Arabidopsis thaliana: one gene and its partner. The protein of the gene in region 2 interacts with the protein of the main gene of each other region in a pairwise test. Each region holds a gene or a part of one and is shown on either strand. Other genes may lie near its edges.

What was found. The genes of interacting proteins can lie anywhere in the genome.
Region 1: the proteins of AT5G53490 (region 2) and LTO1 interact in a two-hybrid assay, tested with the Arabidopsis thaliana proteins (one study listed by BioGRID).

The regions. Positions count from the first base shown.
Region 1 is NC_003075.7:16,940,485-16,946,502, reverse strand, and holds LTO1 (NAD(P)H dehydrogenase (quinone)s), read left to right. Parts: upstream 1-1,825; 5' UTR 1,826-1,880; coding exon 1,881-1,979; intron 1,980-2,055; coding exon 2,056-2,341; intron 2,342-2,621; coding exon 2,622-2,878; intron 2,879-2,974; coding exon 2,975-3,087; intron 3,088-3,237; coding exon 3,238-3,385; intron 3,386-3,469; coding exon 3,470-3,709; coding exon of another isoform or gene 3,710-3,770; 3' UTR 3,771-4,472; downstream 4,473-6,018. Other genes in the region: SEN1 (Rhodanese/Cell cycle control phosphatase superfamily protein), read right to left, coding at 520-594, 675-728, 829-899, 990-1,186, 1,279-1,430; AT4G35750 (SEC14 cytosolic factor family protein / phosphoglyceride transfer family protein), read left to right, coding at 4,829-4,952, 5,039-5,303, 5,419-5,638. UniProt on the Arabidopsis thaliana protein: Thiol-disulfide oxidoreductase catalyzing disulfide bond formation of chloroplast proteins and involved in redox regulation and photosynthetic electron transport.
Region 2 is NC_003076.8:21,721,175-21,728,592, forward strand, and holds AT5G53490 (Tetratricopeptide repeat (TPR)-like superfamily protein), read right to left. Parts: upstream 3,528-7,418; 5' UTR 3,517-3,527; coding exon 3,342-3,516; intron 3,153-3,341; coding exon of another isoform or gene 3,111-3,152; coding exon 2,977-3,110; intron 2,876-2,976; coding exon 2,629-2,875; intron 2,538-2,628; coding exon 2,314-2,537; 3' UTR 2,061-2,313; downstream 1-2,060. Other genes in the region: AT5G53486 (uncharacterized protein), read left to right, coding at 648-714, 783-839, 1,055-1,119, 1,230-1,355; AT5G53500 (Transducin/WD40 repeat-like superfamily protein), read right to left, coding at 4,993-5,462, 5,561-5,654, 5,749-6,038, 6,137-6,227, 6,331-7,350.

The sequences.
Region 1 (6,018 bases), on a different chromosome or scaffold from region 2:
GGATTTCTTTGTTAATCAAAGCAAGTAATCATATTAACTGATCGTAAACGATTCAGATACAGAAACACCTGTGTTGAGATTGATATTAGTTTTCATAATATTAGTTTCGGTTCCTTTCGGTTTGATCTTGTCCATGTATAAATATGTTTTTCTATCATTTTATAAATTTAACACTTAAACTTAAAGAATAATAATTTAAAACCAATTTAAAACTTAAATTTTAAGAAAGTAATTAATAATTTTTAACTAAAATAATGTTAATTTCACTATTATCATTTAAAAATTAGTTTAAGTATTAAAATTTTAAAACGGCGAAAACTAAACGTGTGTAGGCATGCATCCCCGTCCTTAATTGGTCCGTAAACTTTGTGGTGTTCGAAGTTCGGTAAAGCTTTCACCCAATATAGATTTGACAGTTAAACTATGTTTTAGAGAATAATAATGATGATTGATACTTGCGTTGAGAACATCTACAGAATTTATTGATAATTACAGGAGGTGATATGGCTATGATTGTTTTCACTCTTCTACCGGCAGCTCATTCTCTGTCCAAGCGACGTATCCTCCAGCAATGTCTGTGATCGCCGTGAAGCCCTGTACATGTGGCGACATTAAACCCGCTTGTCCTAAACCGGATAACGGCTATATAAATTGAAGTGATATTACACACATACAGCAGTGAGAAGATCAGTTGAGGCCATAAATGACATTTGACCGCTCTCACAACCCTGCAGAAGTAGTTTATTACGTGCATCAGAGATTTTGTGAAACAAGGGATTGTCTTCATAGGGGTTTATTTAGTCTCTGAATGTCAAAACTGAAACTTACGATTATGATTTCATCGTGTTTCCTGAAGTGGGACGAGACCTGTCTTAGAAAACTCGGGTTCTTAACCATTCCTGCAACGGTTTTGGCTTGGTGTTAGTTTTAAGTTGTTTTTCATTTTCACTCTTTCTCATAAGAGGAACCTTAAGGTCGGTGATGAAAACCTGATCCGACTCTGTACATGTAAGGTACGTTGATGGCTCTAGTCGGATGTCCGATGCTGAATTCGTCTGGTGTCCTCACGTCGAGATAGCGGTATCCTGCTTGAGCTAGCTCACGCGCCACTCTTACTGGTACTGACGTAGGAATTTTAACTGCCTCTGCTGCAACATTTCCTCTGCTTGTTGTCGTTGCTTTCCTCCTTGAGCAAGAAGTTAATACTCAGATTTAATATTTATTCATAATCTAAAATCAGATAGAGAAGGCGATTCTCGTCGTTGATTGCTAGCTTACCATCGGAAGTTTGAGTTTCGAAGATCAGCTACAATAACACCTCTTCGTGTTGGTAATTGGCACTTGAAAGATCCACATGTTTGTAGAGGTGGAGAAATAGCCGATGACCAGTTTCCAATTCGTGATGTTGTGTTAAAAGCAGTGGTTTCCATTTTCACTTCTTCTTTGAAACTTCTTTTAGAATGCTTTGATGCTACTTAGATACTTCTTCTCTTAGTTCTATAGCGTTTATATAATACATACAGACACAAAGGTATGGGTGTCACGTCAGCAAGTTTTATGTCCGATCTTCGAGTCTCTATCATTTCTATGGATAAATTCAATTATGTACCAAAGTCGATTCCAAAATGTAAACAATGCGTAGATAATGAATCATGATAAGTCCAACTCGGTGCCTCGTGAGTCGTGTTGAAGAGGATAACTTGCTGACTCGGACGGATAAGAAGACCGTAAGGCCCAATTGTGATAAACTAATTATGGATCCAAATTATCGTATTTGGGCCTCGTTTAGGCCCAATATTGAAACAAGTGGCTGAGATAGTGGAGCGGAGGAGAGAAGATGATGAAGTTAACAATGGTGGAATAGCGATTCTTCGACGACGATGATGGCGAGGTTTGTTTCTGTGTCGTCTTGTCAGTTTCATTTCGGCTTCCGTGAGGTTTCTCCTCCGTCGGTAACTTCTTATCCTAGACGATTCGAGGTAAATTCTTGTCATGTGTTTTCTTCAGTGACAGTAGTGTGTGATCGGTCATTTGAAGTCAGATGTTCTGAATTAGGTCTCTGATCGGAGATTTCCTGCGATTCCGATTAAATGTTCTTCATCTGAGCCGGAAAACGGTGAGGATTCGGCACCGTCGCTGTCTTCCTCCTCCTCATCGTCTACAAGTGAAGTATCTACTAGTAACAGTTCGACATACAACTGGTACACCGGAATCGGCGGTATTGGGATGTTAGACACTGCGTATTTGACTTACCTCAAGGTCACTGGCTCCGATGCGTTTTGCCCTATTGGTGGTGGCACTTGCGGTGATGTCCTCAACAGCGATTATGCCGTCGTTTTCGGTATTATCCATCGCTTTATTGATTATAGCGTTTGATTTATGTAGCTAATTGTCCTCTCTTTTATAGTAGGCATGATTAAATACTCGCATGTGATAGTCTCTGTGAATCTTTGCTTGAAGCTATATCATTTAGGAGCTTTGGTACTTAGTATGCATAGAATTGTTAGAGTTAAATAGCATGCTTCACTCCACTCTATGTAGTGCTTTGTCTTCGTTGTTTGTCCAACATTGCATTGCAGGTAAGTTGAACTCAATGAAAATCCTTTTTTACATTTTGCCAGGTGTTCCTCTTCCAGTGATTGGATTTGTTATGTATGGCGTAGTAACCGCTCTAAGTGCAGAGCTTGGGGAAGGGAATCTACCTTTTGGAATCAGTAAGAGCAATGGGCGTTTCGCGTTATTTGGGATCACGACTGCAATGGCATCTGCTAGTGCATATTTCCTGTATATCCTTAGCACAAAACTCTCAGGATCATCATGCCTGTATTGTCTGGTGTCTGCTTTCTTATCATTTAGTCTATTTTTCCTCTCTGTAAAGGTATCCCTTTATTTCCATTTCTTTTTTTTTCCTGATGTTGACTCAAGATAACTTCTAAACTTCGGATTATGATAATGTGCTCCATGCATGTGGTAGGATGTGAAGTTGCAAGAAATACAGCAAGTTGTAGGATTGCAGATATGCTTAGCAATCATAGTAGTTGCCTCCTTGACTGCTTCTTACAGTACTGCTCAACCAATCCCTTCACGGTAATCAAAGTTCATAGTTTTCTTTGGGGAGTCCCGATAGAAATTTTAGTCATTTGTAACGAGTAGTGAACAAATAGCTTCCGAAAGATGTATGAGTCTTATCAGGTGGTCTCTTTTAATCCCGATCGTTTTTTGTTTCACTCCTTCCAGCTCTGGTGACATTGAACTGCCATATTTTAGAACAGAGATCAGTTCATCATCGAGCCCTTATGCTATTGCTTTAGCAAAACATCTAAACTCCATTGGAGCTAAAATGTATGGGGCATTCTGGTGTTCTCACTGCTTAGAGCAAAAAGAGGTAGTTAGTTCATTCATCACCTGTTTGCCAAGAATCAGTTTTATGCTTTTATTATATGTTCATTATAGTTCCATCCATCTACAGATGTTTGGAAGAGAAGCGGCAAAAGAACTGAACTACGTGGAATGTTTTCCGGATGGATATAAGAAAGGAACTAAGATACTCAAGGCATGTGCAGATGCTGCGATCGAAGGATTCCCAACATGGATAATAAATGATAAGGTGAGTAAATCCTCTGAACCCCTTGTACATTTCATCACATGTCAGTACCTATTTCACCTCTTTTATAAATTAGGTCTTAAGCGGAGAAATAGAACTCGCTGAACTAGCGGAGATGACTGGATTCAGCCTTGATCAGGCAAATGAGACCAATCAACTTCAGTAAATTTTGTATTGGTGCAGAAAATATTAAGGTGAATCCGTAAATGTTGTTTACTTGATCCTCCTGATAGCTATAGGGTGTTCTATACAAATTCAAGTAATGAAAGTGCTTATTGTTGCCATAGGAGGTTACAACTTCATCTGTATCACTTAGCCTACACCAGAGCATCACTATTTTATAATTGAAAGATTCATAGGTTCTTCCAAAGAATGTTAGGGTACTATTAATTCGAGAATCTACAGCCATCTAGTACTGGCTTTATGTAAGTATAATGTCTAAAAGTATGGTCTATATAAGAGAGTCACACATGTATTTTGTATATATATGCGTGTAGAGTAGTAGCAGATATATGATGTATGGGAAACTTAGAGAATTACGTTTACAATATTTGGTGCCCTATTGAATACCTTCCTTGAATGTGCCTCCTCGGTATTTTTCTATTGTAATGATCCATCCACAAGTTTCGCTGTTATTATCCGTTTAATATGCAGAAGATAATGTTTTTCCTTATATTTTTTAAAAGATTCCATTGGGCATTGGATAGATATGAACATAGAGATCTTTATAATCTTTAATAATTTGTAAGCTCAGATTAGTTTAACTCAACATCGGATGGGATGATCCAAAATAACGCCCATCTTATCCAATAATCTACATGAATCATGTGATGAGACGTAACGCTTAAGGCGGGGGGCGGGAAAAGAGTCAAAAAAGGCAGTAGCCGTTAGATGTAGCAAAAACGGATGGACCAGATTAGTTGCTTAACAACGAAAGATCAAGAGAGGGCGAAAAAGGTAATAATTATTGGAATGTAGGACCCACAAAGAGGTGAGGAAGATCATGATAAAAAGGAAGATGCTATAGAATATTCGTAAGAGCCCGTCGTTTCTCCCATTACCCTCCAATTAATACACTATTTTTTTTATTTTTTTGTCTTTCCCTTTTTAAAATGATCATCATCTTCTTCTTCACTCGCCTCAATTTTTGTTCCCTTCTTCTTCTATAATTCAACTGTGAATTTCACCGACGAAACAAAAAAGAGAGAGAGAGAGAGAGAAACGATGAGTTCTCAGATTTCGGAGATTGAACAAGAGCAGCTGATCGAGAAGCTTGAGATCTTCAAGATCCATGGCAGAGACAAACGTGGCCGTAAGATCCTTCGTATTATCGGAAAATTCTTCCCAGGTACTGATATATCAATCGGATCTGTTTCTTTTTCTCTCTGTGTAGATTTGTTCTTATATTTGAGTTTTTTTTGTTTCTGAAATCAGCTCGATTTCTGTCACTGGATGTGTTGAAGAAGTATCTAGAGGAGAAGATATTTCCTCGATTAGGTAGAAAACCATTCGCCGTACTCTACGTCCACACCGGCGTACAGAGAAGCGAGAACTTCCCAGGTATCTCAGCTCTACGAGCGATCTACGACGCAATTCCGGTAAACGTCAGAGACAATCTTCAGGAGGTTTACTTCCTCCATCCAGGTCTTCAATCACGTCTCTTCCTCGCCACCTGCGGCCGATTTCTATTTTCCGGCGGGTGAGTAACTAACCGCCGCGTTTTTTAATTTTCTGGTCAACGACTTTTCTTGATACTATAGTTTTTTTTAGAAAAACGTTGATTAATTAATTGGTGTGGTGATTGGCTGCGGTAGGTTGTACGGGAAGCTGAGGTACATAAGCAGAGTTGATTATCTGTGGGAACATGTGAGGAGGAATGAGATAGAGATGCCGGAGTTTGTATACGATCACGATGATGATCTGGAGTATCGTCCGATGATGGATTACGGTCAAGAAAGCGATCACGCGAGGGTTTTCGCCGGAGCCGCCGTGGATTCATCAGTCTCAAGTTTCTCCATGAGGTGTATCTCATAGCGTAAAAGGCTAAAACTCCACCCACTAGATATCGGATCGTATCTTATAAACCATATAATATACGAATACGATTAATAATATATCAAAAAGATTGGAAATAGGTGTGCTTTTTGAAATTAGTGAGCGTTTTTTATGGAAAAGAAAAGAAAAGAAAGCAGTTGGCGTCTGGATAAAGGGAAGGAGGAGAATCTTTAGATTTTTTCTTTAATCTGTTTTTCTTTTGTCTTGATTAGTTTTTTCTTTAGTGGTGGTGGTTGTGAGTTAGTGTGTAAAATGTATATTGTCATATGTGAATTTAATAATAAGTCCTTTTGTAAGATGATCAAGGGAAAATTAGAAATTGAAAAAAAGTCATTTTAAATTTACAGCAGCAAATATGA
Region 2 (7,418 bases):
ATATACAGAATTTGAAATTTGAACAATGTCATGCTATAAGGAAAAGTGTGTTAAGAAAAAAAGTGAGGTTACTAGCTAATATACGATTTTTGTCCACAAGCATAAATAGAGGTAAGCGTTAAGTGTTCCTTTTTGGGAGATGTAACACAATCAACAGTTAAGTTGACTTTTTCAACCTTTTCTAGGGTTTGTGGCCTGTAGGTTCATTGCGTTAACCCAATAACTTCTTATTCTTCTCATTTTTGTTCTTGCTACTATCATCACCATTTTGATGTTAGTAGTCTCACCACTGTTTTCACCTTTTTTTGATAATTGTTTTGTGATATATAAAAAAAATCGATATCTACGTGATATTCTTATTTTAAAAAGTTATATTGATAAGAGCTTTACATATTTTCATTGTCATAAACAGAACCAACCATCTTAGTCATGGTCATCATCATTGTCATAGTCATCATCATCACCATTACGACTAATATTATACATGGACCATAACAGTTTCCACCACATTAACTTGACCGTTTATAAAATGGGAACTAACCTTCCCCATCTTCTCATATGAAAATCCATTTTGTCCTCATTTTCCATTGATTAGTTGCATTCTCTCCCCTAAACGAACAAAGAGTAATCATCAAAAACCATATAATATGCCTCTTAGGATTGAACCCCTATCTCTACTCTTCCTCATTCTCATTATATGCTCTTCATCATTAGGTAAACATATAATTGATATTCATATATTCCATCCTTTTCAATTTATAGTCTTTTAACTTTGTTTTAAGGGATGACTATCAACCTTGCGTCCCAACACATCCATCTTAGTCCGAGATCAGCTTTTGGTATTATCTTGTTGAACATTAGTCTTTTCTTCGTTGTTGAATCTAGTGCCTTAAACTACCTTAATACCATTGATTATTAATTACTATTATATTGGTGAACACTTTTTCCATTCTTTCTCCAAAATTAAAACACATCTAACTAACTAGTATGGGTTGAAATAAATAAGTCACTTAAAGAACAATGTATATTCCGCTAACAGAGTGTTTTCTTTTAGCCATAGTGGAAGGCTCTATCCAGCTCGACGGTGCGAAGATGCATGAGAGTTCCATGCTTTACAAGGTATACATCATACATGTAGATGCTTTACGTTTATATATGTTCTTATCAACATTAGAAATGTTGTTAATGTCCAAATATTGACAAGAATTTATGTGTTTATAATTAAAAAGAGTGAGGAGGTGGGTGTGAAGAAGATGGGTCATAGGAAGTTGATGTTCCACTCGACAGCGGACTACGACGACGCAGGACCCAACCCTAAACACGACCCAAGGAGAAGGCCCGGAGGCAAGGGTTGAATCATCAACACAGAACTATCTCTGTCATTATATATATAGTAGCATATATATAAGCACATGCACTAATATCTATATATCATATATGAATATGTATGTGATGTATCCTCCATTCTGACTCTTTTTGTTTGAGGATGAGCTCAGTGTAAAATACCCTTCGGAAACCCGCTAGTGAAAGGATTAGTGTCTAATAACAAGACATAATAAATCCTTATTTATTATCATCTTATTTCATTGACATATATAATATAGCCATTATATCCTGTGTAATCGTTATATCAGAAAATAAATAAAGTGTTATGGTTATTTTTAGTTCTGTATAGTATTATTATAAATGCGTCTTCTACAATATTTCACATTAGTTGATGATTTCAATCTTATGCAGTCAAACACATAGTAAAAAACTCTTTATCAGCATGATCACTAAACGAAAAAGAAATGAAGACAGATTTTATGCTTATCATAGCTAAAACCTTATATGTCGCTATTACAATAACATAGTACAAATGAAACAAGATTGCAATGGTTGATTTAAAAAAAGAAAATATAAAACTAAAATGAAAAAACAAATATAAAATTAAAACAGTTGCGCATCCAGGGAATCGAACCCTGGTCAGTACCGTGGGAGGGTACTATGATACCACTACACCAGATGCGCTTTTATTCATTGTCTCTTCTCTTACATATTTATAGCGAAGACTAGTTACTATGGTTATACATATTTCACAAGCATACATAAAATTCACATACTAACACTTAAATATGTCTATGTAAATTATTGAAGAGAAACAGAGAAAACGCCTTTTGTTTGGTTACAGAATTTACAAGAATCGATTATACAACCTCTCATAACTCTCTTGACTCCTATCCTTCAACCTTTACTTAGTTTCATACATCTTTGTGTCAACAAATCTTAAATCTTACATATATAATACATTCAAATCAAAACCTTCTCTCTTCTCTATCGGCATCCCAACACAAGTCTTCCTTCTTCGTTTATGGACTCATTCCTACATATTTTCTGAAGGTCTATGTAACCAATGATAGTGTCCTCAAAGACCACATCCTCCAAATTTGCCTCCTCAAATGTCGAACCGGATAATACCGTGTTCCTAAACACCGCACCTTTCAGATTCGATTTCCCGAAATTCACCCGATCGATAACAGCATTAGTGAAATTCACCCCTAGAAAAGAATTCACACTAAAACATTAATTAACATTTTGGTCCATAATTTTACCATATGCTTTCAAATTTCAAGATTTAAGTCTATATACCTTTAAAGCTTGCTTCTACAGCATAAGCTTTTGACATAACAACTTCAGTCATATCTGCACCATCAAACTTAGCCCCAACCATCAAGGCTGCAGAGAGAGTCTTGCCTTTGAGATTAGTTTGATCATTTGTGTAATCACAGAACCTAAGATCCAGTGGTTTGTCATAGACACCATTTGCTTGACCTATCGTGTTACCAACAAATGCTTTTTCACACCGGTCTGGTTCTGTTGATAACGGAGGAAGTCTCTGAAAAAAACAATCCATTTATCCATTTCTTTAAATTCTAAAACATAGCCATCTTCAGACACAAACATAGAAAAGAGAAAGGGCCATATAATGTGACAGACCTGGTTAGCAGCAATAACAGGAGAAGCTATTGTAAGAGTGCAAGCACAGAGAGCTGCGCAAGCGATAGATCCAAGCTCCTTAAGAGGAAAGAGACTCTTCTTTACACCTTCACCATTTTCTCTGTTTTCTCCTGCTGAGAACATAATGCAAATCAAGATCACATACACTACTTTAGCTTCACTTTAAAAGCAAGATTTTGACATAACAATATTCATAAACCCATCTATAAAGATGAATTCATTGAAGGTAAAGCTAAAGATTCTTGAAAATACTTAGAAATTTCGAAGAACCGTACAACCAAGAAGAAGTAGCAGAGAGATCTTGAAAAACCAATTAAAGCAGAGAGAAAAAAGATGACATTTACCGGAGCAGTGTACTGTTACTAAAGATCTAGGCTCACGGCGGAGGTTTACAGAGAAAAACGGTGAAGAGATTTGATTCCTCGTGAATTGAACAGGAAGCGAAGCCATGGAAGTGTGTTTCAGATTTTTGTTCGAACTTGGACAACCATAGAGTTTTATCAATTCGTTATGGATCATGCCTATGACGTGGCATGACAGATCATAATATCAGACTATATACGATTTAGCCCATTGGGCCTGATTACTATTTGGTCCATTTGTAAATCTTTCATCGGTTTTGGATATAATATCAAGTAGTGCAGCCCATCGGTTAAACATCTACAGTATATTATTGATGACTTCTAACCCACGCAAAATATATGATTTACCATGCTAAATACGTAATTAATAGCTTAATAGTAAATATTTTATTTTATATATTTTTATTTATGTTAAAATAAAATTTATATTTGTATTTATTACATTAAAAACGATTTTAAATAATAAATGATTATATTTATTTTGTGTAAGCTAATAAAAGATATTAAAAAAATTGATTAGTATGAGAACATCTTCTACAAATGTAAGGTTATCTTATAAGATACACTCGGAATATTATTAGTAAGATTTTTGTTTCCATAGTCTATCGGATCCTTCTAGGTCAATTAAAAGTTAAAACCCTAGAGCACAAAACCATCATTCATGATTGCACACACTAATTTGTTTGACACAACAATTTCCTAACATTCAACCACAAACTCTTACCTTATCTCGATTTGGTCAATCAGAAAATTTTCAGATTCATTGATCATCATTTACTATGTGTTCTCATATATTTGCGATTTCTTTTACTGCTTAGTCAAAGAGTGGGTAAATCGCCAAGACAAGTTTCAACAATTCTTGTAATTCATGTTACACCACAAACTCTAGTTTTTTTTAACTGTATGTACTTGGAAGAAAACAAGTTTTACTCTGTACAAAATTTACAGCTACAAATCTCCGGAGCCTCTCTTTGAGGTGGAGAGCTCTTACAATCTATTGATTTGTCTCTTATAATAAGTGGAAATCAAATCTAGAACAAAGCTATATAACAAACTCATCTACACGTTAGAGACTCAAATTACACATAATCAACGAATCAATAATCACTACGTTAGAAATTTATCAATACAAAATCCTAAATTGAAAAAAGGATCTTAGGAGAAGGCATTGGAAGATCTTTCTTGTGGAAGTAACGTCAACATCTTTCTCCTTCAACCACTCCTTTACATGATCACTACTTTGCCTCTCTTGGTTTTGGACCCTACAATAATCGCCTGTCAATTTTCAGACAAATCCGTACTGTCTAAAAACCATCTCCAACCGCCACTAATTGCCAAAAACAGAAACATCTGTTCCTTATCATCTCCTGCGTCTACATCAACCGATTGAAACCTCTCCCACTGACCACTTCTTCAAAGATTTTTCTACAAGATGATGATAAATCTTGAGGAGAAGTAACAGAATTGTATCACTTTTTGACTAATTGATGTATCTCCAGAGATCTTAGAGTGGATCTGGTTTTGGACCCACCATTGCTTCATGATCTGCTAGAACCATGTGCTTGTGCCTATCAAGATAGGAACAATGGCATCTGATTTGTTTTCCAAAGTTGGGAAAACGAAACAGGTTTTTTCAAGTAGTCACAGGCAACCCGTAGTTCTGAAATGTTCTTATCTGTCCATCCCAACCACCTGTGACTATGACCATACCCCAAGATAGAGAGCTGGATGCTCTCTGGTAAGAGGACTTGAGAAACTTGTAATGAGATGCATTCATCGCGGATGTGGACAGAGGATTTGCGGGTAGGTTTTCCTCTGGCCATGTCGCACTCCCTTTGGATATTGATCCGGGGACAAATCCTTCGTTGTGAGATAAGCATGATGGAGAAGAAAACGGGAGAGTTGTGTTGTGATCTGAGAATCCACACCATGTTGCTGCAACTGATGCATTGGCGGAGAAACGTTCAAAAGATCGAATCTTTTTGGTTTCTGATTCCTCATCATTGCTCCATATATATACATTGGAGTCCTCACAAGCTGAAACAATGTGTTTTCCATCAGATGTGAGAGATGCTGATGTGAGGCTTCTCGTCTTGCAAACGCCTAAAGATTGAAAAAACAGAGATGGGATTAGTTTAGAATCAATAATAGAGCTATGCAAAAGAAAATGAAAGTTGAAGGAGACATAAAAAGAAACATACCTTTGTATTTTCTGACGACATTGTTGCCTTGGAGAATTCTGACTTTGGAATCCGCGGAAACAACCAGGACTTTAGTCGGTTCTTGTGGTAAGAACTGGAAAAAGCAAGTACGATTTGTTAACATCTCACAAATTTCAAGAGAAGTAAACGAAGTATCTAGAGAAAGGGAAAGACATAGGAGACATTACCTGAAAACCAGTTATGCGTTTATTTGAAGACTTCTTTTTGTTATGCAAATGTATCTGAGAGTCCAGTTCTAAAAATTCTCCAGACATGTTAAAGAATCTGCAACTCCCGTTCAGAGAACCGATGATTCCACCTTGTCCATCCGGACGATAACACACTGCCGATATAATGTCTTTGAGATCTGCCCAATCAACAACGCTGCAACCGGAAATGTTCCAAATTCGAACCTTTCCATCAATTGAACCACTCATGAAATAATTCTCATTTACCGGGTTGAACTGAACAGAGGTTACTGCAAAAAGAAAGTTGCAGGCAACAGGTAATGTAAGATCAATGTAGTAACTGAAAAAGAAAAAGAGATCTAGAAACCAAAAAGAAGAAGAAGCATACCATAACTATTGTGAGCGAAAACTCCAAGACAATCATTGCTACCAACTTTCCAAAGGCGGACAGTTTTATCCATTGACGCCGAAAGCAAATACTACACCAAGAAATTACATAACAAAATGCCTCAGTTTTTCGCTTCCGTTAAAGCAATGGTTGCAAGTTAATATAAGAAAATGCAAAAGATTTTGGAGGCTTACATTATCTTTTGACCATGAGATGTCCAAGACTTCACCCGTGTGCCCACGGAATTCATATAATGGTTTTTCCATAATCCGAAAAACTTTAGGAGGGAAGACAACACAGGCTGAATCAGATGTTTTCCTGAAACTTTCTGTAGTCTTCTTTGGTTTCTCCTCATTTACCAAAACTGGTTTCAACTGAGAAAGATCATTTACCTCAAAGTACATACACGAAGGATCTATCTCGTTAAGGCAATCCCTTCGTAGTCTAGATTTCTTATCCTCAACGACTTTCCACACCCTCACAATCCCATCTTCACCAGAGCTTGCAAGAAACTTCCCATCGTTGCTAAATTTCATCGCCAAGATGGCACCATCATGAGCTTTAATGTCTTGACTCTGATAAAGAGCTGAAAGCTCCTTTGCCTGCTTCTTACAATGCTTAACCTTAACTCTTGAAATCACATCACCATAACCAGAAGAAGCTCTCATTCTACCACCAGATTCGATATTTGTATCCGCGGTACATCCCATAGACCGAAGCCTCGATAACCATCCCTTCTTAAAACTCGTGACTAGCCCTGCGATATTCCTCTGCTTCTCGGTTTCCTTCACTTGGCAATATCTGGAACTAGAACATGACGCCATTGAAGAGCTTTGTCTTCTCGTCACATCACATCCACCCACATTTCTGTCTACTCTCAAAGACAATTCCTCGGAAACTTCAACGCTTGAACCAGACAATGAAACCTCACTAGAAGAACTGCTGCACTCTCCAGATCTCTCCTCAGCTTCAACAGAATTCTCTTCACCTCCATCAAAACAAGACTCCACACTACTTCCAGAAACCGAATCCTTCGTCTCAACACGCCCTTCTTCTTCAACTCCCATCCACTCCAAGAACTTCCTCCGCCGCTCCACAACACTTCCAGGTGAATCATTCCATACATCAAATCCAAAACCACTTGGATTCAATGCCATCATCTCTTCGTTAGCATCGAAAAACTGCAAATCTTCCTCTTGAGATAAGTAATCCATTATTCCTTGAGCTATTGTCAATCCATGAAACAGAGCTTAAAGAAGAAGAATGCTTTTCTCTCAAAAGA